5 linked regions of the Neurospora crassa OR74A genome follow. The protein of the gene in region 3 interacts with the protein of the main gene of each other region in a biochemical or structural test. Links are inferred from orthologs where the notes say so. Each region holds a gene or a part of one and is shown on either strand. Other genes may lie near its edges. The genes, in order: NCU04404, NCU01992, NCU06091, NCU00493 and NCU10066.

Region 1 (4,120 bases), on a different chromosome or scaffold from region 3:
CGAACTCGACGGTAAGGTTCTGGAGGGTCTCAGTTGTTTGGTTGACGAGTAGTACGTCTAGTACAATGTCGAACTGGTGGACCTTGACATAGGCCTCAGCATAAACAGGGTCGGAGAAACCGGTGAGCTGGACAACGCGGCTAAGCTTGCCAGATAGGTCCTCAGCCGAGCTGTTGTCTCCACCAGTGGCACGCTCGAGATCGGCATCGAAAGCATCAGCCCCATCAGTGGCATTCTTCTTGGAAAGCTGGCGGATTTGATAAACATCGTCCACCTGGGTGGCCGTCTTTGCCTTTTGGTGGGCCTCTTTTGCTGCGCGCTTCTTCTCCTCAACCTGGACCATCGCCCTGAACGCCTTCCTGGTATCCTCGAGATAAACGGTCTCCAACTCCTTGTGCGCGGTGAACTCGGCAAGGGAGCGCACACAGCTCATGATACGATCCACCGAATCTTCATCAATAGGGGCCTTGACGAACTGCGACTGACCAACACGAATGACGGAGATCATGATGAGCATAGCCTCAGCGCGGAGGGCGTTCGTGCGAGCCTCTTCCGAGGAGATCTCGGCATGACGCATGACAAGCTTGGTAAGGGTCGATGCGAGAACAGTGGCAAGGTAGTAATCGCCGTCAAGGATAAGTTGCCTGAGAGGGGGCTTCGACGAAGCCTTGACAGCCTCCAGGCGTGCAGCAGCTGTAGACTGGCTGGTAAGGGCAGTCTCGGTAGCGTATGTGCCGTCAGCAAGGACCTTGCGTGAGCCAGTCGGCGCTGCCCTTGAGCCATTGACCTGCTCCTTCTCCTTCTCCTCGGCATCACCATCAACATTATCCAGCAACCGTTGCTCGGATGCCAAGATCGGGATCTCACCCAGGCTTGCCCGAATTCTCTTCCATGCGTCCCTGATATCCTTCTCCTCAAGCGAGTACTCGCCGATAATCCAGAGAATACCGCGGTAGATCTTACCAGCGCGGACTTCACTCAGGGTATCTACCAGTCTCGCAATGATTGCTGGCCTGAGCTGAGGGAACTTCTCGACGACCTCCTTGACAAAGTTAATAACATCAACGGCGGAGTTGTTGTTGAAATCGGCAATAAAGTCCATGAGCAAGCCGACGACGCTAGCGGCGACTTCGGAGAACTTGATAGCGCATTGATGGATGGAGTGGATAAGAAGCTGGCGGTACTCGTTGTTCTTCTCGTACTCCTGGTCAACCGTCTTGGACAGCTCCTTCTTGAGCAAAAGCACGACTTCCTCCACGTTCTTGCTGGAGACCATCTCCAAAGCGATCTCGAGACCCTTCCTCCGCACATCGATATCCGTGCTAGAGAGAACGCGCAACACCTCCATGGTCAGGTCGTCCAGGACGCCGGGGTTCTTTTGGCGGAGTTGATCGACACGGTCCAGAACGATAAGCTTGACATTGTTATCCGCCTCCTTGATCGCAAGCTCAATGAACTTGCTGGCAGCAGCCTTGACAGCGACAGGGTTGTTGGTGAGGGCCGTCAACGACGAGGCCGCTTCGTAGATAACGGTCGAGGCACTAGCTTCCAAAAGGTCAAAAATAAGACGGAGGTAGCGCGCCTTGTTCTGGGTGTTGACAACAGCATCTTTCCTGATGAACTCCAACTCGGCCAACTGCAAAAGCTCATCTGCGTTGGGAATACCGTCAAAGACGGTGCTGAGATAGAGAAGAGCCTTGTCGTGGTCGATGCTGGCAAGGGCGGCGAAGCCATTCCGCTTGCAGGTTGGGTCGCTTTCGCCTTCGAGGAACGTGGAGATCAAGTCCGCAGCATCGGGAATAAGCGACGGGGAGTGCTGGTAAATGGAAGCGACAGCAAAGACGGCGTTCTTTCGGACATAGGCATGGCGATGTTCGAGACAGCCCCGGGCTGAGGAGAGCAAAGGCTCGAGAAGTTCGGCCTCCCGCAGCTTGCACAGGAAGCGCAGCGTGTTGCCTCGGATGTACTCGTTCGGGTGTTGCAAGTCGTTTCGGATGCCGTTACTGCGAGGCAATGGCTGGTCAGCTTGGAGGGGCCAGCATGCCCAGACGGACACGGAATGCCTTACCATACTAGGATGAACTCCTGCTTGAGCTTCCCTTGGGCATCAAGCTTGGGGCAGATCTCATAGTAGAAGTATAGAAGCTTCTTCAGGGGCTTGGATTTAGAAGGCATTACGAATCGGATAATGTGCATGAGCAATTGGGGCATGGGATCGCCATTGAGCATGATGGTAAGAATGCGCTTCATGGTCTCGATCTTGGTCTCGTCGGTGCCCTTTTCGAGCTGCGTCTTGAGCTCCTGCACGGTTGGGGTGCCGTCGACGGCATTGTCCTTGACCAAGCTGTAGGCATTTTCGAGGAACGACATGTTGGAGAGCTGGCGGCGGCCGGGCCGTCTTTGATTAAAGTTGAGATTGAATTTGGTAGAAAGTAGCTGGCCGGGCGTCCTGAAGAGGAGTCGCGGATCGAAATTAGAGAGGGGCGGGTGTGGTAAGGTGTTGTTTGCCCCGTTGTAGGTTGCGTGGTGCTAGTAAATGGATGGACTGAGTGGCTGCCTCGAGCTCCTGAAGAGTGACGATGAGCTGGCCTTGGTGCTGGATGTGGTTTCCTCCCCCTGGACTGACAGGGTCGTGGTTGGCCGAAAATCAAGAGACGGCTGCGCAATGAAAGGGTTGTCTGGAGTGCGCCGGCGAGGTGAGAGAGCGGAGCATCACCTGTGCTTGTTGTTGAAGTCTGGAAGAGCCAGCGTGGATAGGACGGTCAATTCTATCGAGAGACGGCCCCTGGGAGATGTGGCATTCTGGCCGGCCGCAACAGCACACGGCGAAGCACGGACCCCCCGACACCCTTACGGCCTCACCAAGCCTCCATCTCCTGGCCGAGTCTGCCATCTGCCAGCTTGTCCAAACAGTCGAAGGATCACGTGTAGATACGGATTGCCAGCTGTCAGGAAGGCTCGTGAACCCGGAGTCAGCTTGGAGCCCAAACAATGCCCCTGGGCCAAGCTGGGGTCAAGTGTGGGGCCGTGTGCCCCGCCAATGTCACTGGAGCGTGGCCGCGCGGGCGCGACTTTCAAGGTTGTCCATCCAAAAGCGACAGGAACCAAGCCGCTGGCTGCATCTCTGCCTCTTGTCTTGCAAAGCCTACTACTGACAGAAGCAACAAACAGCCATGTCAGCCGCCAACGAACCCTTCTATCTGCGCTACTAGTATGTACACCCCTACGGGATTCGATTCACTCACACATTGAAAACACCATGCTAACAGCCGGCTTAGCTCTGGCCACTCGGGCCGCTTCGGCCACGAGTTCCTAGGTGTGTTCAGCCATTTGCGCCTCGAGACGCAAGCTCCCACGTTTCCACGACCACGATGCTAAACTACCGCCCTTTGACTACAGAGTTCGACTTTCGCGTCCTCGGCGACGGACGTAGCGCCACTGCCCGATATGCCAACAACTCCAACTACCGTAACGACAGTCTGATCAGGAAAGAGAGTAGGAAACACTGTTTAGCCGGCCGTGGACATCCATATACTGACGAGGGTCTCTTTTAGTGTGCGTCAGCTCTCTGGTCATTGACGAGATCAAGCGCATCATCAAGGACAGCGAGATTATGAAGTACGACATCATGTTCACCCTTTTATACAAACAACATGGAGCGGCTGCTGACAGGCCAACAGGGAAGACGACGAGAAATGGCCGACCAAAAACAAAGACGGAAAGCAGGAGTTGGAGATCCGCCTCGGGAACGACCACATTTCATTCGAGGTGCGTCTTGCCAGTGTCGGAATCTATTTCTGCAAAATGTTCAGAGCTAATACAGGAAATAGACTGCCAAGATCGGATCGATCAACGATGTTACGGACTCGGCCGACCCAGAAGGCTTGCGCGTCTTCTACTACCTCGTTCAGGACCTCAAGGCGCTGGTGTTCAGTCTCATTGCCTTGCACTTCAAGATCAAGCCCATTTAATCTTCCGACACGAACGAATACCCCGAGTTTGATATATCCTTACTCATGGAAAGGAGAGATTTTGTGGGATAATGCGGCGTTTTATAAAGGCGTTCTTTTCTATCTATTGGCGGCGCAGATGGGTTTCTTGAAACTGGATTTAACATGGA
Region 2 (4,280 bases), on a different chromosome or scaffold from region 3:
GCTTCCCGCCAGGTCAAACTCGGCAACCTCGTACTCGTCATCGTAGCCGGTTTCTTCAGGCTCACCGGTGCTGGGATCAATCTCCTTGCTGGTGAACTTGAGGACGTTGGAGAAGGTGCTAACTGGTAGCGAACCCTCACCGCTGACCTTTCTGAATGCCACATATACCTTTCCAGGAACGTCGGTCTCGAGCTTCTCAGCCTGAATAATGAATAATTCTTCAAGCTCTTCTTCCGCGGGAGTAGCTACGACAGAGACGTTCTCTAATACGGTGTCGGGAAGGGTGTTCTTGACCTCGTACTGGAGCACAATATGCTCCTTGAAAATATGCTTGACAACTCCAACGACGTATTCGGTCTCCGCCTCGGTCAACTCTACCACCGGCGACGACTTGAGAACGGCGCCAAATTCTGCCATCTCGGGAATCTGCATCAACTCCTGCGCATATTTTTGCGCAGCTGCCGAGGCAGATGCGGCTGCCTCGGCGCTGGTGGGAGCCGCCTTGGTTGGTCCGACCTTGGGTGGCTTGAGTGAAGGTGTCGTAGCAGTAAGCTTCTTGGTCCTATCCTCGGCATCTGCTTGTTCGCGGGTAACAACAGGGATCTTGGAGATGTCGAAAGGCGCCTCGAATGTCGACCTGTCATCAGAAGTAACATACGTGACGAGCTGATGCTCGAAAAAGGGCAACGAGAACATGCTGTCTGTTGACATGTCAGTATGTGATCGCATCCGGCAAACGTAACATAAAGTAGACGAGAACTTACCATTCTTGACAAACCTGTTCGCAAGCTCATCCTCTTCCTTCATAAGCTTGAGGTTGAGAGCAGCACGATCGCGAACCTCGTCATCAACATCATCCAGACACCTGGTGAGGAGAACCTCTACGCTGCGCTTGACTTCAGGATCTTTCTGGCCGACACCAAATTTGGCAAGGGCAGTGACCGCTGCGGCGCGCACAATGGAGTTCTCGAGAACCACCCGGTTGTAGATGTATCGGATGTACTTGGTAGGCTGGGATGTCTTGGGTCCCTCAAGACCGAGGAGGTGAAGGACACGGACTGCCAACTTGGTGAACTCGCAGTCCTCAATAAACTCGCACAGGTGAGCGAGAGCCTCCTCCTTAGATTCGGGGACGAACTTGATAAGATCGAACATGCTCTCCACCACGGCGCGCTTAAACTCATAGCCACCCTCATCGCGCAAAATACCACTGAGGAACTGGAGCATGCCGGCCTGCTTGCTGGGAAACTTGAGGCATAGAGTACGGATGGCTTCGACAATCGTAATCTTGAACTCATCGGTGATTTCAGACATGAAGCCAGAAATTTGCTTCATCAGACGATCCACGCTGGCCTCGTTTCCGGTCTTGAGTAGGGTAGTAATGGCAAAAGTAGCGATGGAGCGGTTGCTGTTGGAGATGAGGAGCTCAATGTCCGGGTTGCATACAGCAACGGCCGCCGGCTTGAACGAAGCGAAGTTGTGGAGAATGCGAAGAGCGGCGAACTTGGTGACAGCGCGGGGCGAGGTAAGGAAAAGTTGGAGGACATGGACTGCCTGGGTGACCTCAGCGTCGGTGACATCCCGCATATCGCAAATCGCCTTTGCGGCCTCGAAGTTGACCATTTCGCTCTTGTGCCTGAGCCAGCCATCCAGCAGCTGCATCATGGGCTTCCTAAGGTGTGGGTCTTCGTCGGCCAGCTGGGCGGCAAGACGGACGAGCAACATGAGAGCAGCGGGGTTCTTGACGGCACCGGGAGCACCGAACTGCTGGACCATCTTCACCAACGCCATCCTGTCGTGCATGCGCATCTGATAAAGCAAGCCAATGGCATGGTATTGGGTCATAGTCGAGCTGTTGATGGGCAGATCTCTGTTGGAAGATCCGAAACCGAGGGAGAAACCGCCGGTAGACTTGGTGTTAGCTGCCGCTTCCGAGGTCTCATTCTGCCACCGTTTGACGACGTCCTTGGCGACGGGGAGAAGGTGATATGACGATACGAGGGCGGCAGAGGATACTGAGGGGTTTCTGTCGACAATGGCCGTCTTCATGACACGCTCGATGGACTGTACTGTGGTGGCCTGCACAAGGTCGGGGTTAGCTCCACATCGGATAACCATTAAGGGGTCGAGGAAGGGGGAGGCTTACATCGATGATGCGGCAAAGGGCGCGGATGGCATTCGGGCGGTAGATGGCATCGGTACTACCGCCAGTATCCTTCATAATGGTGCTGGTAACCATAATAATATCCTCGGCCGAGTTGGCCAGCTCCTTGATGACAAGGTGGACCATCTGTCGTAGGCTGGCATCTTTGTTCTGGAAGAGCTTCGAAATACCAAAAAACAGCGTCGTGGCTTCGTTTGTCGGGAATCTTTCGCCGGTGTAGAGGAGGAGAGCAATCTTGGTGAGGAGGATACGACATTTGCGCGGCTGAATGGGGGAGTTGTTGAAGAGGCGGGCTGTATGTCGAACCGGTCAGTCTTGAGGAGGTTAGGAGAGTATAAGGGCCACGTCCACCCGACGAACAATGCCTCAGCTGCCAAGGTACTCGGACTCACCCTCCTGGAAGACCTGGGTCCGGTCGACCTTGACCAGACCCGTCTCAGCATCCTCGTCCTTTTTGCCGTAATTCATGGCGGGCAGGGCGACGATGGGTGCTGGAGGTGTGATGTGGATTTGGGAAACCCAAGTTGTTGTTGTTGAGGCAAGTAAGTCGAGGCTAGAACAATAGAGGTACGAAATAACGGAGTAGCGTGTTGCCTGTGCGACGGTGCGGCCAGCAAGCGGGTATCCCCAAACCCGCGACGTTGCCAATTCCACTGCACAGTCGAGGGGGAGTCCACTGAGGTGTCAGGGAGTCCGTGCTCCCGGGCCACGCTGCCAGTCTCGCCAGTTAGAGGCTGAAAGCCTCCCGGCAGGAGCAAGCTTCTCCATGTGCATCGTCAACCTCAAGGAGCGGGTGTTACAGCGCACAGACCACCCTTCCAATATGTACATACCTAGTTACCTCTACATAGATGCTTCCCTCCCGCCTCCTGAGTAGATCATCGAGTTTAATTATTTTCAATATAATCACACGGGATGTTGTTCCTGGAAGACAAACTTGACATTGTTCAACCTGCCAGGTCACCTCACTTGTGCTTCTGAAGGAAAAATAGAACCAAGATTGCTAGTACGTAGTAATCACCATGATAACTATTGATACTTTACTTGGACCTGTTCAGTGCCAAGCTTTACATCCCACACTCGGTCTAGGTGGCCGCCTTCCCTTTCGGCTTGAATGACAGCTTGATACTGACTACTTTACTCAAATTGCATTATCGTGAGCCCTTCTTGCTGTCAATTGGTTCTCCTCAACGGTAGTCCCAGCCTGTACTTAAGGATACAGTTGGTCCGAGCATCCATTGTACCCATCTCTTCCTTTTCGTCTTCCTCCAAAAGGACATATAGCCTTGCTTTGGCTCATAAAAGCATGATTTGTTTTCTAGTATGTTTGCTTGCTCTCTTTTGGGGCGTACTCTTAGGCACAGCTTCTTATATCACTCTCCTGCTACGGCCCTCACCTGCGTAGCATCAGCGATCGGATACACAAATGGACCCTATGATGTGGAAGCAGCTTCTATCGCTTCTGCATCGACAGGCACCTCATCTGAGACCACTGCCGAGGCCTCGGGTTGCGCCTCAGTCTGTACCTCCGCCTGTGTTTCGAGTTGCATGTCCGGTTGTTCCTCGCCCTGCACCTGCGCTTGGTCCTCCGCTTCGGCGGCGCTTGCTTGCTCCTGCATCGGCTCTTGCGCGTGATAATCAGTATTGATGGGAAACCCGTTCCGGACGTCGTCTTCCTTGCGGTCGGGATTTTTGCCGCATGCCTTCACAGCTTCTTTCTCTTTTTTGCCCAGCACAACGAGATCAAAGGACGGAGGCAAAATAGCATCAGCCCTGTACCAGACGTGTCAGTAGCGGCCAGATAAGGTTTAGTAAGCAAGGCGTCAAGTCACTCACTTTAAGAAGTCCTGCTTTAGCAAGCGAGCTTTGTCTCGCAAAGCCTGCTGGTCACGAGGGCGCTCAAAAGGGATTTTCCCCTCCTTTATTTCCTTCTCGATGACGCTCCATTTACACTTGTACGTATCCACTGCCTTGATCAACATCCTGATGTCATCGCGAAGCCAGGGTGACCGACTCTGTGGTCCTCTGGCTTTCCGGTTAGCTGCCGAGAGCTCTCTCGAGCGTTGCGACACGGCGTCGAGGTCAGGCTCAGCCTTCGTGCCTGAGGACGGTGAAT
Region 3 (4,102 bases):
TTTTTCTTTTTTCCGTTCTTTTTTGATTTTCGCATCTTCGCTTCGCCTCATTGTCCATCGGTATCTGCCCACCTATCCACACCAATCCTCTCATATCCTCCAAGTAAAACCCAAGCCTCTTACCATCTCCAACCCGTCCTCCTCCTATTCGACCTCGAAGAGAGTAGTAAGTGGGAGACCAAAAGAGGGAAATTAAAAAAAATGTTCATCATCATACCTACCCTACCATACAAGGAGACGAGGTGAAGATATTAAGTAAAATAGTAGGCCCTTCTGCGCGGTTGCTTCGCTGGTGTGATAGAGTGAATCAGGTAAAATGCGCTGCGTCCTCCGTGTTGTTGGATCAGGAAGGCCGGCCTTGACTGACCCCTTGCCCGCTCGCTCGCTCGAAGACCCAGCGCCCACCCACCACCCCTTGTTCGTAGTGTAATCGTGAAAAGGCTTCCTTCCCCCGACTTTCACTCACTCAGCACAACACATCATCATCATTCTCGCTTTTCGGGGTGTCTCCCACGCTTGTCCTCAATGGCTGGGCTGTTTGCTTTCTCACAATTCCCGCCGTGCGCCATTTAGAGCAGGGAGTCAAGGCGAGTGAATACGCTCAAGCAAGCCGCCACGACTTCGAGCTGGAGTTCCTTGTCCTTTGCTTTGTTGACCTCCTGTTTGTTTGGTGAGCATATGTTAACTAAAATTCTCGCTTGAACAGTCCGCTCGGTTTTTTTTTTTGGAGGGGTTCTTTTTTCTCCCTCTTCCAACAGAACCTCTTGGATAAGAAATCATACAAACGTACCTCATTAATAACTTGCGGCAAGTTCGCCCCCACACCACCATTCCCACCAGGCAACGGCCTCGCCGCAAACGGCCACTGGCTGTACTGCAGCAACAGCTCGTCCGCCATGGAAAAGGCGTTTTCCCTCGCCTCGTGGCCGAGGGTACTCAGCGCGTTCTCGAGCACGTTGGCTGCGTGCGCCGCGCACACCATGGCGATTGTCCGCACGTACCGGAACTCGAGGTCCTCGGGCAGGTACTGGGTCGGGGTGAGCACGACGGTGCGCTGCGTCAGCACGTTGCGCACACGCCGTCGGATGTCCTCCTTGGCGGCGCCCTCGACGACGGGGTGTGTGGCCATGTCGAACAGTAGGAAATTGCGCTTTTCCGTGCGCAGGATGCCCTTGTCGACCAGACCCTTTGCGAGCCGCTCGCGGACTTGTTTCAGTTGGTAGCCGATTTTCATGAGGTTCCAGGTTTCGCCTGTGGTATTAACAGGTCATGTCAGCACGTTTGCTTCCGCTTGGGTGTGCACGATAGACATGGGGGGAATGGAGATGGGGCAGTGACGCAAACACGTACCGCTCATCAAGTCAATCCAGGAGCTGACGCTCATCTTCTCGCTCGTCTTCATCATCTTCAGGGCCTCGTCCAGCAACACCTCGCCCGTTAGAGTGTCGTCAATGACTTCGATGATTCGGTCCGCCAGGGGGAAGCGCCGCCGGGAAGAGTCTTTTTGCATACTGATGCGGCCGCGGAAGGCCAGCTCGAGAACAATGCATCCACGAAGAGCATAGGAGATGTTGTCGTTCCAGAACGAAAGGTAGCCCTGATGGGGGTTGTCTTGTTAGCCATGTCGTCTCTCGTCGTGCCCAGGTTCCGAATTCCGAATCATGAAAACAGTCCAAGGAGCAGCACGTGGCGAACGTCAATATCGAGTCCAGCCATAGTCAGAAGATAGCCCTTTGGTAGGCCCCTACAACATACAAAGGGATAGTGTAGCGAGCGAGACTGAGAGAAAGAGAGACGTGGAGACAAACCTCGCGATCCTTGATGCCAAGCAATAAGACCTCCTCCATCAGCGTTAGCTTGGGTTGCTTGCTCCTCTCTGCGCTCTCGCTCAGGTCGCGGGGATCGAAGGCAATCCTGTGTCCGTTCTCGCCCGTCTCGTAGCTCGTGTCGGGCCCAACGTCCCTCGTGTCGGAAGCGCCGCCGCCGCCGCCGCCGCCGCCGACGTCGCTGCTGCCTCCTCCCGCGCCCCTGCGCCGGGTCAAGCCTGATGTTGATGCCATCTTCTTCTTCTTCTTCGTTTTTTTTTTCTTTATCGGGGACTGTTTCTGATGTGATGATTGGGCGGCACGAAGCGAATGTGGTCGGCCGAGTTTGGGCGTATGTGCACTGGTATTATTTCCCCGTGTTTTCGCGGACAGGGGGAATTGAAATAATTTCGGTTTCGCGGTAACACGTGGGGATTAGGATTGCGGATTGGGGATTCGGTAGGCCTGGGTGTAGCCTGTGTTTCAGAGGAAAGGGTAAGGCCGACTAGTAGAGGTAGTAGCCTGGTCGATCAATTGTCCCGAACGTGGAGGTCCGTCCTTCGTTGTCGTCGTCGTCTGGGGGGTGGTGGGAAGCCGCTCTTCGGCGCGGCTCTTGATGATGCGAGTGTTTGTCGTTTCGCTAGTCTGTTGGTGTTCTCTTGGCTACCTCTAGCAGGACCGACGGGGGGGGGGATGGTTAGGTTTGGTTGAGGCTGAGTGGTGGACTCGGGTATGTAGAGGTACGTAGGTAACGGGTCGGTGCTCGACGGGTCCCTCTTTTGGTTGGCACAGGCAGCGCGCAGCAGTGCCGGACGCTGTTTTGTGCAGCGGTCAAAGAAAGAGAAAGTCCAGAGGTGGGATCCCGTCCTGGTCCGCGCGGCGGATGGAGTCTAATCGGGTCAAGAGCCAATCTCAGGGTCCAGTTCACCTGCGGCGCAAAGGGGTTCTAAGTATCAAACCTTAAACTTGGGTGCAGTTGGAGATGGCTAGGTTATGTGTTTCCTGTATATTCTGAATGGCCACGTTTTGAAACGGCTGTTTCTTTGTTCAATGCTACCGAGGGATGAAGTCATTAACCCCTTCCAAGCTTCCCTTGTGGAACGGAACACGGGTTGCTCCGATCATGATAAAATCGTGTAGCATCACCTAGAATTATGTCGGCTTCCAGGCGCCGTGTTAGTGCTTTGATTGCGAATAAAGTAGAGTCCGACCACCCAGCACTAACAGCACCTCATTTCACAGCTGGAATTTAACGCCTACACCGGAGAGCGCCTCGGTATCAGACAAGCAAGAAAGGGAAGCTATGCGTCTCACATCACCAATTCAAGTCACCGGACAAAAAAAGAGAAAAGACTCGGTGAGCTGATAATCACTTTTTAACTCCCTGAAGATGCTGCCTCGCTGAAGAAGAAGGGGGACCTCCAGCCCCTACCTCCTCCCTTCGCCACCACTACTAAAAGCTAGCTAAGTATAAAAGAACAAAAGACAAGGCTTGCCCAGCCTCGTACCATGTTAACCGCTTGTCGTGATCTGGTCCAGTTGTGATATGTACGTGTGATATAATCTCTTTTTCCATTCCGACCGTGCAAAGAAAAAAGAAACGAAAAACCATGAGGAAAAAAAACAAACGCCAAAAACACCACCTGTTACCCCCTTCCAGCAAGAAATATGTACGTAGCGACAAGGCAGAAGAATGGGAAAAGGATATGCCAGCCTCCCGAGCATCTGCCGCTATGCAGCAGCAGTGGTATCAACATCTCTCTCCAAAAAGACAAAACACCCCTTGCTGAACACCTTATCCGACGCTTATTTCTTCTTACCACCGAATCCGCCCTCGAATCCAGGCCTGCTCTTACCCTTGGAAGCACCTTTTCCTCCACCCTTACCGCCCTTGCCGCTCTTGACCTTGATGCCCATCTTGCGGGCCTTCTTCTCGTCCTGCTTCTTCTTGATGTTCTCCTCGCGCTTCTTTGACCTATCGTACTGGGCCTTGGCGACGCCCTCCTTGCGCTCTCTCCACTCATTGGCGCTCTTGCTCTTTGCCTTCTCCTTGCGCTTGACAGCCTTCTTGAGCAGGTGCTCGTCGTCGTGAACCTTCTCGCCCTCGGCACGCTTGCGAGCAGCGAGCCACGTCTCCTTCTCAAGGACTTCCTTGCGCTTATCTTCAGGCAAGGCCTCGAGGCGCTTCTTCTGCGCCTCAAGCTTGGCAAGCTTGGACTTGGCGTCCGTGGGGCCCTTCTTCTTGGTTCCGTCGGACTTGACAAAGGCGGCGTCACGAGAAAGCTGAACACCATCAG
Region 4 (4,298 bases), on a different chromosome or scaffold from region 3:
TCAATCTGGACGTCCTGGGCTTCCTGTTCCAATTCACGTAGATCTGGATTCTCGTCATTTGCAGACGGCGCTTTTGATATAGTGGTATCTTCGGGCTCGTGTTCAGTAACAGCCTCTTCTGCAACGCCCTCCTCCTCTTCATAACCTATCTCGTCATTGTATGCCATGGAGACATCCTGAGCATCTTGCTCGACGCCGCCTGCCGCCTCTGCTTGCTCATCGTTGGTATTATGCTGAGCCTCGAGGTCATCGACAGCAAATTCAACATCCGCTGTGGCGGGTTGGGCATCAAGATCGATCGCCTGGTACTCATCTTCCTTGTCATGTAGGTCGTCGAGTTCTAAGACAAGCTCGTCGGCTGGCATGCCGGCATCTAGCATCAAGTCATCGTCAAATACCGCCTTCCCCGCCTCGGCACGAACGTCGAAGCTAACTTGCTCCATGATGATTGGCGGTTGGCGGGTCAATCAAAACACGCGCCACAGACGAGTGAGTTGGATCAAGAACGAAAATTTGGAAAATGACGCAAAACTTCCACGAAGTTTCTAAGAAGGTGCGACGTATTGCCGTTGTCAAGAAATTGTACGTCCAGCAAGCGTCATGAAAGAAGCGAAGACGTAGAAAATTGGTGCACTGGTCAAAACCCCAAGCTTGGCGATGGGTTTCGGTGGATGTCTTGGACTGAAAGGCTGTGACTTCTTCTTGGAAGCGAAGCCGTAGGGCATATAGAGACCACGGGTTCTGGAGTTATGGCTGAGAATGGGCAACCCCGCACTCGACAAAGAACGCCCGACAAACAACGGCGCTTCTGGGGCGCAAAATGAAACGGTGAAGGGATGTGAGGCGACACGTGGACTGGCGGAATCCGACAACACGATTTAACCGCTGTTAAGAGTTCTGGGGCGGATGTTCTGGGCAAAAGTGCACATCGAATCGAGGTATGGAATGCTGAAACGCGGCAGGCAGATAATCGGGATGCCTCACTTTCACGGAGCGGCGGAGCTGGGAGGTGGGTGAAGTGCAACGGAGTCGAGTAAGCTCTTGATGACGAGGCGTGTCACAAAGGTAGCGTAGGTATTTGATGATCCGTAATCGAGACTCGTATTGGCTGGGCAATGCTTTGACGCGATTGAGAAACAAGTTTCTCGATGGCGGATGGTTTTTCGAGGTAGGCGATGGTTTGGATGGAAATGGAAATCGTGAAATTTCGACACACGGGGCCGTCTGTTGTGCGTGTTGAAGAAAGAGGTGCAGTTGTTGGTTTTGCCGCAGTGTGTGGACAACGGTGAAATTCGCAGAATTGATCATAGGAAGGAAACTGAACCTAAGCAAGTGCCGCATGGAGTTTAGCGGGCCCTGTGGGTGCCTAGAGGTACCTACCTACTGTACTTGTATCTATGGTGTGCCCCTGGATTTCTTTTGCCAGCTGGCAGCCCCTCGTCGGCCGGCCAGGACGCTGCCACCGTGTACGCAGTAGGTTGCCCTGGCCCGCCTGAACCCGACTGCCCTGACGCTGCAGTGAAGCTGCCGTCCAGGTACCTCTACCTATCGCTGCCCGCTGGGTCCCTCCAGATGGCACCTTCAGTTCAATTGGACCTGACCGACAGCACACCTCAGCACGGCAACGGAAAGACCACATCAACCTTCCCGTCCACGACAACTTTCAGGAGGTGAAGCTCACGACTTACCTCCAACGCATCCCAAAGCTCCCTGCACTACCACGAAGCGCCCTTCGAGTCAGTAGTCGTGGTTGTTGTTTACTGCTGTCAAAATGGTAACTCATCCATCCCTGTCTCCTGGTGGGAAGAAGCGATTGACGGAACATGTCAGGTTGTCCTCGCTGCCTCCATCTGCACCCGCGGCGGCAAGGCCGTCTTAGCCCGCGCCTTCAACGACATCAAGCGCTCCCGCATCGAAGCTCTCCTCGCCTCGTTCCCCAAGGCCGCCGACTCGGGTACTCAGCACACCATTGTCGAGCAAGACAATGTCCGATTCGTCTACCAGCCCCTGGACGAGCTGTACATGGTCCTCATCACCAACAAGCAGTCCAACATCCTTCAGGACATCGACTCGCTCCACCTTTTTGCCCAGGTTGTCACCAGCACCTGCAAGAGCCTTGACGAGCGCGAAATCCTCCGAAATGCCTACGAACTGCTCAGCGCCTTCGATGAGCTGGTGACTCTCGGTTACCGGGAGAACCTCACCATCAGCCAGATCAAGACCTTCCTCGAGATGGAAAGCCACGAGGAGCGCATTCAGGAAATCATTGCCCGCAACAAGGAGCTGGAGGCCACCGAAGAGCGCAAGAGGAAAGCCAAGCAGTTGGAGATGCAGCGCAAGGAGTCGGCCAGAACTGGTCGGTCCGCGGTACCCCGGACGCCGGTATATCCCACATACACCCCGCCGGTGCGACCTGCTGTCACCGAGTCCTATGATACGTACGAAGCCGAGAAGAACAAGGTCAAGTATGTGTTAGTCCCTCTTCTTTTCAGGCTGGCCTGCAAGCTCACATTCTTCTAGGTTCAATGCGCCAAAGGGCAAAGGTATGCAGTTGGGCAAGAAGTCCAAGAATACGGATATTTTCGAGCGCGTGAAGGGGGATCTTGGACACGAGGCCGAGGAAGCGCCCCTTGTTCCGGTAGCCGCGCCGGCAGCTGCCGCAGAGCCTGCTGCTTCCAGAGTCTCTTCGACACTCGACAGGGATGCTATTCACGTCCTTATCAACGAGGCAATCAGTGCCAAGCTGTCGAGAGATGGTGCCCTCGAATCCCTCTCGGTCAGCGGTGACCTCCAGCTTCGCGTCTCCGACCCATCGCTTTCAAGGATCAAGCTCAACCTCAGCGCCACACCCACCCACGGCGCCCAGTTCCGCACTCACCCGAACGTCGATAAGAATGTCTTCAATAGCTCCCAGGCTATCCAGTTGTCTCAAATCACAAAGGGTTTCCCCCTTAACAACTCTGTCGGAGTTCTAAGGTGGCGGGCCAGTCCCAGAGTCGACGACACCAGCGCACTACCAATCAGCTTCACCGTTTGGGTCAACAAGGGCTCGGATGGCAACAGCACATTGACGGTCGAGTACGAGCTCACTGGCGGAGATACCCTCAAGGACGTTACTGTCGTCATCCCCTACACGAGCGCAGAGCCTCAGGTGTCTAGCTTCGACGCTGTGTATGAGGTGTCTGGTGACAGTCTAGAGTGGTCGATAGGCACCGTAAGCGAGGAGAACGCCAGCGGATCATTCGAGTTTGAGGCGCAGACCGATGACGAGAACGAGTTCTTCCCGATGCAAGTACGGTTCTCCAAGTCGTGGCCGTTCGTGGAGGTTGATGTAAGATGTCGCCCCCTCATGTCAGAAAAACGGGTAAAGACGGAACAACTGACACATTCTAGGTTCAATCTGTTGAGCTGGTGGATGAAGGTGAAGAGGTTTCGTTTTCCAAGGACATCAGATCGGTGGCCGACAAGTTCCTCATTGAGTAGGGTTTGTTGTCATTGTTTTGAGCAGAACCAAAAAAGGGCGACCGTAGCATGCCGGCCAGGCGTCTCGATCATCATCTTCCACACCAGAATTAGAGTAATGTATGGGAAGCAACCGAGTTGTCCAACTCCCTTTATAATGAATACTGTTGTACATGGTCCGCGCCAGTGGGTGCTCGAGCTGTCATTCCTTTTCTTCCGTTGATACCCAAGGTCATACTTGACTTTTTGAACAAGAGGTTTTTGACGCTCCCGGGATCCTTGAAAGTAACATGTAAGCTACGAGCCCTACGCATTTTTAAGGGGATGGATACCCTCATGATCCAGTACCATATAGAAAGAAGCCTATCTACGCAAAGAGCTATCCAACTCAATCATCGCTGTTGTAAGCACAGAGTATGGTAATTGATGTCGATGTGTGTAGTTCGCTAGGTAAGCTTGTAAAGGTCATACCTACACAGTACGGATGCCCCTGCACAGTATTTCTATTACTGTGGCAACTGCTCTATCTGCACTGTGTTTTGAATCAACAGGCAGGACGAGACCACACGACTGAATCGCAGAACAGCAGCAACAACAACAACAACATCACGCCGAGGCAAGTGAAGCTGTAGGTCTAGCAAACCAAAACCGAAATCCCCCAAACATACAAACCGACTTGCCAAGTTATGGACTTGCGCGTGTCATTCAAATCAAAATCTTGCGTCCCGGAGTTGAAGGCTGGAACCACTTAGCCGCTGCTTTCCACGTCCAAATAACATCATCCAACTGAAAGTCACCAACGGATCCTACAAAATGTCCCCAAATGGGCAGCTTCA
Region 5 (4,032 bases), about 970 kb from region 3:
GGACGAACTGGAGCGCAATCTCAGGGTAGCCCTTCTTCTGAAGGTAAGCAATGATTGACTGGCCAACCAAGCTCGAGTTCTGGATGATGTGTAGCATTTCCTCGTAGTTACGCTTGACAAGCGCAAGCTTGAAGCGGTACTCGGTGGGGTCAATCTGCAAAATCTTGGGCTTCGCAGCACGATCAAGGCAGTACACGTTTCTACCCTTGACACGGGTGAGGTAAACAGTCTGGTCGAGGGTGCAAACGATGCCGTTATCGCCATTAAGAAGCGTGTACTTGACGTGGTTGAGAGTCGAGTAGAGCAGAACACCGGCGTCATCCCACGCAGCACTCTTGAGACGGATAGTCTCATGTAGAGTGCTAACCTGCTCCAGGGTCTTGGTCACAATTGTCACATTGTGCTTGCTGAGCAGAGCGGCGTAAAGACCATCGTTAGACCAGACAACGTATTTGACGCCAGTTACAGCCAGCTCGGCAGTGCTCTTTCTCTGCTGGATATCGTAGAGGTGAACAGCGGTCGGAGTAATGATGAGGAGGTTGCCGGTGCCGCCGAAGTAGATGTCGGTAGTGCCAACAGGGGGCTTGAACGATCTCGTGGTGTTGTTGGTCAAGTCCTTGATATCGACGGTCTGGGTGGCAGTGTTAAGAACAGCGAAACGGTTGCGAGCCACAAAGACAGCGGAGTTGCCCTGGCCCCGCTTGGATTCTGTGGGTTCGATAGCTCCAGAACCATCGCGAGGAAGGGTGATGAGCTCGTACGACCCACCATCCGCCGGGGAAGTGACCAAGATTGACCTCTCCGCGGGGTTGTAGGAGAGCGTCCTTGGGGGCACCCAAGGGCTTCCGAGCTTCTTGAGCGACAAAAGCGTGGGCGATTCGACATTCTTCTGGAAGTCGTACATCTTGACGTGCTTCTCCTTGGTGATGTAGAAGATGTTGTTCTGATAAACGGCGGAAGCGGGCCTCTCGCGCTCGAGCTTGAACACCATAACACCATTGTCGTGACCAGCAGCGAACAAGTTGATTTCCGGATGAGCAGCGATGACCCAGATCCTATCGTTCTCCCGCTTAAAGGTGTTGACTACGGTACGCTTGTTAAGATCCCATACGCGAATCGTCTTGTCCTCGCCGGCCGAAAGGATAAGGTCCTGGTGGGGGTGGAAAAGACAGCCGCTGGCGTTCTGGAAATGGCCGCGGCAGGTATCGACTTCCCACTATGGATGGTTGGTTCAGTCAGCAAGTTGTCATCAGATGCACAAATCCTCACAACACGTACAGCCTTGGTCTCGCTCATGCGCCACAGCTTGATAAGGCGGTCATCACCGGCGGACACGATCAAGGGCATGGTGGGGTGGAAGGCAACCCAGTTCACACCGCGGTCGTGGCCCTCGAGAACGAACTTGACAACGGCGTCGGTATTGCCGAACATGTCGGTCTGGTTGGCATTGGCGCGAGCAACTTGGTCCTCGAAGGACATGGACGTGGGCGCGGAGTGCTTCTTGCGGAGGCCCGAGACTGTGACAAGACAAAATGGTCAGCCATCCATGTATTCCGCAGATATCCATGCCATCTTTCCCAGCTAAGGCACCACGTACTATCCCAAACGCGAACAGTCTGGTCGAGGGAGGCGGAAACGATGAGGTCCTCCTTGGGATGGAACTGGGCGCACATGACGTAGTGGTTGTGGCCCGTCATGGTGCAGAGCAGGGAGCGGTTCTGCCAGTTCCATATCCGAATCGTCTGGTCGTCACTAGCACTGACAATCCAAGGAAGCTCGTGGTGGAAGAAGACGGTGCGGATGTAGTCCAAGTGGCCGTTGAGTGTAAAGAGGCAGCGCCGAGTCTGGAGAGACCAGACCTTGATCTTGTAGTCGTCACCGCCAGATACGAAGAGGGGCTGTAACGGATGTGTAAGCTAGCTGTCGATAACTCGGGTTCGGCGCATCGAGGGAACAGGGAGCTCACCTGTGTCTTGTGGAAATCAACGCCGCGGACGGGGCCATCGTGCTCTTCGAATCGGTCAATCAGGGTACCCATGCGGTAGTCCCATAGCTGAATGGTGGAGGAGTGGAGGGAGACGAGAATCCATGGTCTGGAGGCAAGGCCATGTTAGTTTCGCGTTTGGTTTTCTTGACAGGCGTAGACATCAAGACCCAGGTCAAGTGACGGGGGAGCTTCTGCTCTTTCGTGGGGACGGAGAGGCTGACCGTTTGGGGTGGAAGGCGATGCCCTTTGCTCGCGACGACTTGGACTCGAACTGCGCACAGGGGTAAGGTAAGATGTTAGACACGCTCGAGCTGGGGAGAAGGCACATGGAGAGTGGACGACAAGCAACGTACTTTGGTGAGCATTCCCGAGGAGGCCTGCATCTTGCCAGTGGCTTTAAGGGGAGCACAGCCTAAGCTCCCGGCATCAACGTGGGAAAGGTGGATTAAGTATTTAAGTGGGAGACGGGGGGAATTAGGACGCGATCAGCCGAGACGCCGTGAAGTCGCAAAATACTATGGGAGATGGGGATTGCCGTTCGGAGGGTGGGAGGAGGAGGAGGGGTGGTGGTGGCGGCGGCGGCGTGGTGGTTTGGGGAATGAACGGAGCCAAAGTGGAAAGGAAGTGTCGAGGTAGACTGAGTGTCGGGTACAAGCTGAGTGCTCAGTGTAGGACCAGTCGTTCGAAACAAGGTCCGCGATGGATGCCAGGCACTCACAATCAACTAACGGAGCTGAGGTGCTGGAGTGGACAGGACGGTCTCGGGCGGCGGCTTCAATTCCACTTGTTAGGATCCATACTACCCTTACCTGTGTGGTAGGGAAGCGTGGCATCTCCATCGCACCGACCTCACCTCCCCATTCAGTGCTGGCGGGCGCTGCAGCTGCCACTCGCACAGCACCTGTCTGTCCACTGCAGTTGGGGCCTTGCAGACACGACTGGCGTGGCCTCAGCGGGCAGCGGCACTCATCGATTCCACCTAGTCGTGCACCGCCACGCCATAAACACACAGAGGATCCGCAATTCAGGGGCTACGGCATGCGTAAGCCTCATTTAAGGGGCCGCAAGTCAAGGGTCGCACCAGCCACAACCTCCCATGTGAGACGGATGAACCCTGGCGGCCACCTGTACACAGCTTCCCTCAGACGCTAGACCGAACTGGGCGAGCTCTGTTGCTTCACTAGTGTACAACTGAACAGCCGGGGCGAGGTGTTCACACGGCAGGAACCTCAGCGCCCACTTGTTTGTGAAGCTATCCCCAATTTCACCACTCCATGTGTATCTGGTGACTTTGCCAGATTACCGAGGTTGTTATTTTGTTTGAACGCTTTTGAGTAAACCGGTGACCTCTTACTTGTCCCGTTTTGTATAGCTCTATTTACAACACCAACACCAACACCACCACCACCACCACATTCGAGCTGTGCCGTTTCACGTTGGTGACATCCAACGTGGCACCTTTTCTCATCCCACTCATGATTGAGCTTTGAAAACAGGCAGCCATCTCATCGAGCAATCTTCTAACTCCGCATTACCTCCCTGCGTCACCATAAATAAACCTGCTTCCTGGTCCAGACAACCATGATCCGTCTCTCCCAGCTGCCGTGGGGTCTAGCGGCAGCCATTGTCACGGCGACATGGCTTCCCTCGCACCACGTTGCAGCTTCTCCCTCTGTAGACGTCGCACTCAAGGCCGCGTTTCCTTCGCCTCCGTATCTGGTAGAGCTCCTGTAAGTTCCCTGGCCCTCCTCCTTCACTCGCACCGGACCATTCTCACATCCGAATCCAGCGAAACCGCGGCTTCCGAAAATGCTACTGCCTACTTCCCACTGCTGGACCGCATTGCCAAGGGAGACTTTGCCCAGGCCAAGTCCGACAAAGAGCTCTATGAAAAGTTCCTCCAGGTTCTTCAAGAAGATGGGCATGTGAATGCTGAGGCGCTGTCGACCTTCAAGCTGGCTCTTTCGTTGCGGTCCGCTGCGCCCCGTGTCGAGGCTCATTATCAGTACTATACCACTGCTGTTGAGCCATATGTAGTGGCCGAT

What was found.
Region 1: the proteins of NCU06091 (region 3) and NCU04404 form a complex in vitro, tested with the Saccharomyces cerevisiae proteins (2 studies listed by BioGRID). The link is inferred for Neurospora crassa OR74A from reciprocal best matches to the Saccharomyces cerevisiae genes VPS74 and SEC26.
Region 2: the proteins of NCU06091 (region 3) and NCU01992 form a complex in vitro, tested with the Saccharomyces cerevisiae proteins (2 studies listed by BioGRID). The link is inferred for Neurospora crassa OR74A from reciprocal best matches to the Saccharomyces cerevisiae genes VPS74 and SEC21.
Region 4: the proteins of NCU06091 (region 3) and NCU00493 form a complex in vitro, tested with the Saccharomyces cerevisiae proteins (2 studies listed by BioGRID). The link is inferred for Neurospora crassa OR74A from reciprocal best matches to the Saccharomyces cerevisiae genes VPS74 and RET2.
Region 5: the proteins of NCU06091 (region 3) and NCU10066 form a complex in vitro, tested with the Saccharomyces cerevisiae proteins (2 studies listed by BioGRID). The link is inferred for Neurospora crassa OR74A from reciprocal best matches to the Saccharomyces cerevisiae genes VPS74 and COP1.

Annotation. Positions count from the first base shown.
Region 1 is NC_026504.1:3,471,443-3,475,562, reverse strand, and holds the start of NCU04404 (coatomer beta subunit), read right to left. Parts: upstream 2,809-4,120; 5' UTR 2,371-2,808; coding exon 2,069-2,370; intron 2,004-2,068; coding exon 1-2,003. Other genes in the region: NCU04405 (mago nashi protein), read left to right, coding at 3,174-3,211, 3,279-3,316, 3,400-3,495, 3,555-3,618, 3,681-3,768, 3,831-3,971. UniProt on the Saccharomyces cerevisiae protein: The coatomer is a cytosolic protein complex that binds to dilysine motifs and reversibly associates with Golgi non-clathrin-coated vesicles, which further mediate biosynthetic protein transport from the ER, via the Golgi up to the trans Golgi network.
Region 2 is NC_026501.1:1,752,646-1,756,925, forward strand, and holds the start of NCU01992 (coatomer subunit gamma), read right to left. Parts: upstream 2,805-4,280; 5' UTR 2,633-2,804; coding exon 2,557-2,632; intron 2,458-2,556; coding exon 2,147-2,457; intron 2,080-2,146; coding exon 765-2,079; intron 702-764; coding exon 1-701. Other genes in the region: NCU01991 (hypothetical protein), read right to left, coding at 3,598-3,937, 4,001-4,280. UniProt on the Saccharomyces cerevisiae protein: The coatomer is a cytosolic protein complex that binds to dilysine motifs and reversibly associates with Golgi non-clathrin-coated vesicles, which further mediate biosynthetic protein transport from the ER, via the Golgi up to the trans Golgi network.
Region 3 is NC_026507.1:1,845,070-1,849,171, forward strand, and holds the start of NCU06091 (vacuolar protein sorting-associated protein 74), read right to left. Parts: upstream 2,809-4,102; 5' UTR 2,061-2,808; coding exon 1,809-2,060; intron 1,598-1,808; coding exon 1,351-1,597; intron 1,252-1,350; coding exon 791-1,251; intron 660-790; coding exon 570-659; 3' UTR 1-569. Other genes in the region: NCU06090 (hypothetical protein), read right to left, coding at 3,612-4,102.
Region 4 is NC_026503.1:4,047,233-4,051,530, forward strand, and holds NCU00493 (coatomer subunit delta), read left to right. Parts: upstream 1-1,491; 5' UTR 1,492-1,771; coding exon 1,772-1,774; intron 1,775-1,830; coding exon 1,831-2,465; intron 2,466-2,520; coding exon 2,521-3,331; intron 3,332-3,393; coding exon 3,394-3,483; 3' UTR 3,484-3,843; downstream 3,844-4,298. Other genes in the region: NCU00492 (hypothetical protein), read right to left, coding at 1-443; NCU00494 (hypothetical protein), read left to right, coding at 4,276-4,298. UniProt on the Saccharomyces cerevisiae protein: The coatomer is a cytosolic protein complex that binds to dilysine motifs and reversibly associates with Golgi non-clathrin-coated vesicles, which further mediate biosynthetic protein transport from the ER, via the Golgi up to the trans Golgi network.
Region 5 is NC_026507.1:2,814,661-2,818,692, forward strand, and holds the start of NCU10066 (coatomer alpha subunit), read right to left. Parts: upstream 2,802-4,032; 5' UTR 2,371-2,801; coding exon 2,341-2,370; intron 2,259-2,340; coding exon 2,209-2,258; intron 2,094-2,208; coding exon 1,967-2,093; intron 1,899-1,966; coding exon 1,598-1,898; intron 1,518-1,597; coding exon 1,279-1,517; intron 1,217-1,278; coding exon 1-1,216. Other genes in the region: NCU02349 (UDP-glucose:glycoprotein glucosyltransferase), read left to right, coding at 3,569-3,717, 3,777-4,032. UniProt on the Saccharomyces cerevisiae protein: The coatomer is a cytosolic protein complex that binds to dilysine motifs and reversibly associates with Golgi non-clathrin-coated vesicles, which further mediate biosynthetic protein transport from the ER, via the Golgi up to the trans Golgi network.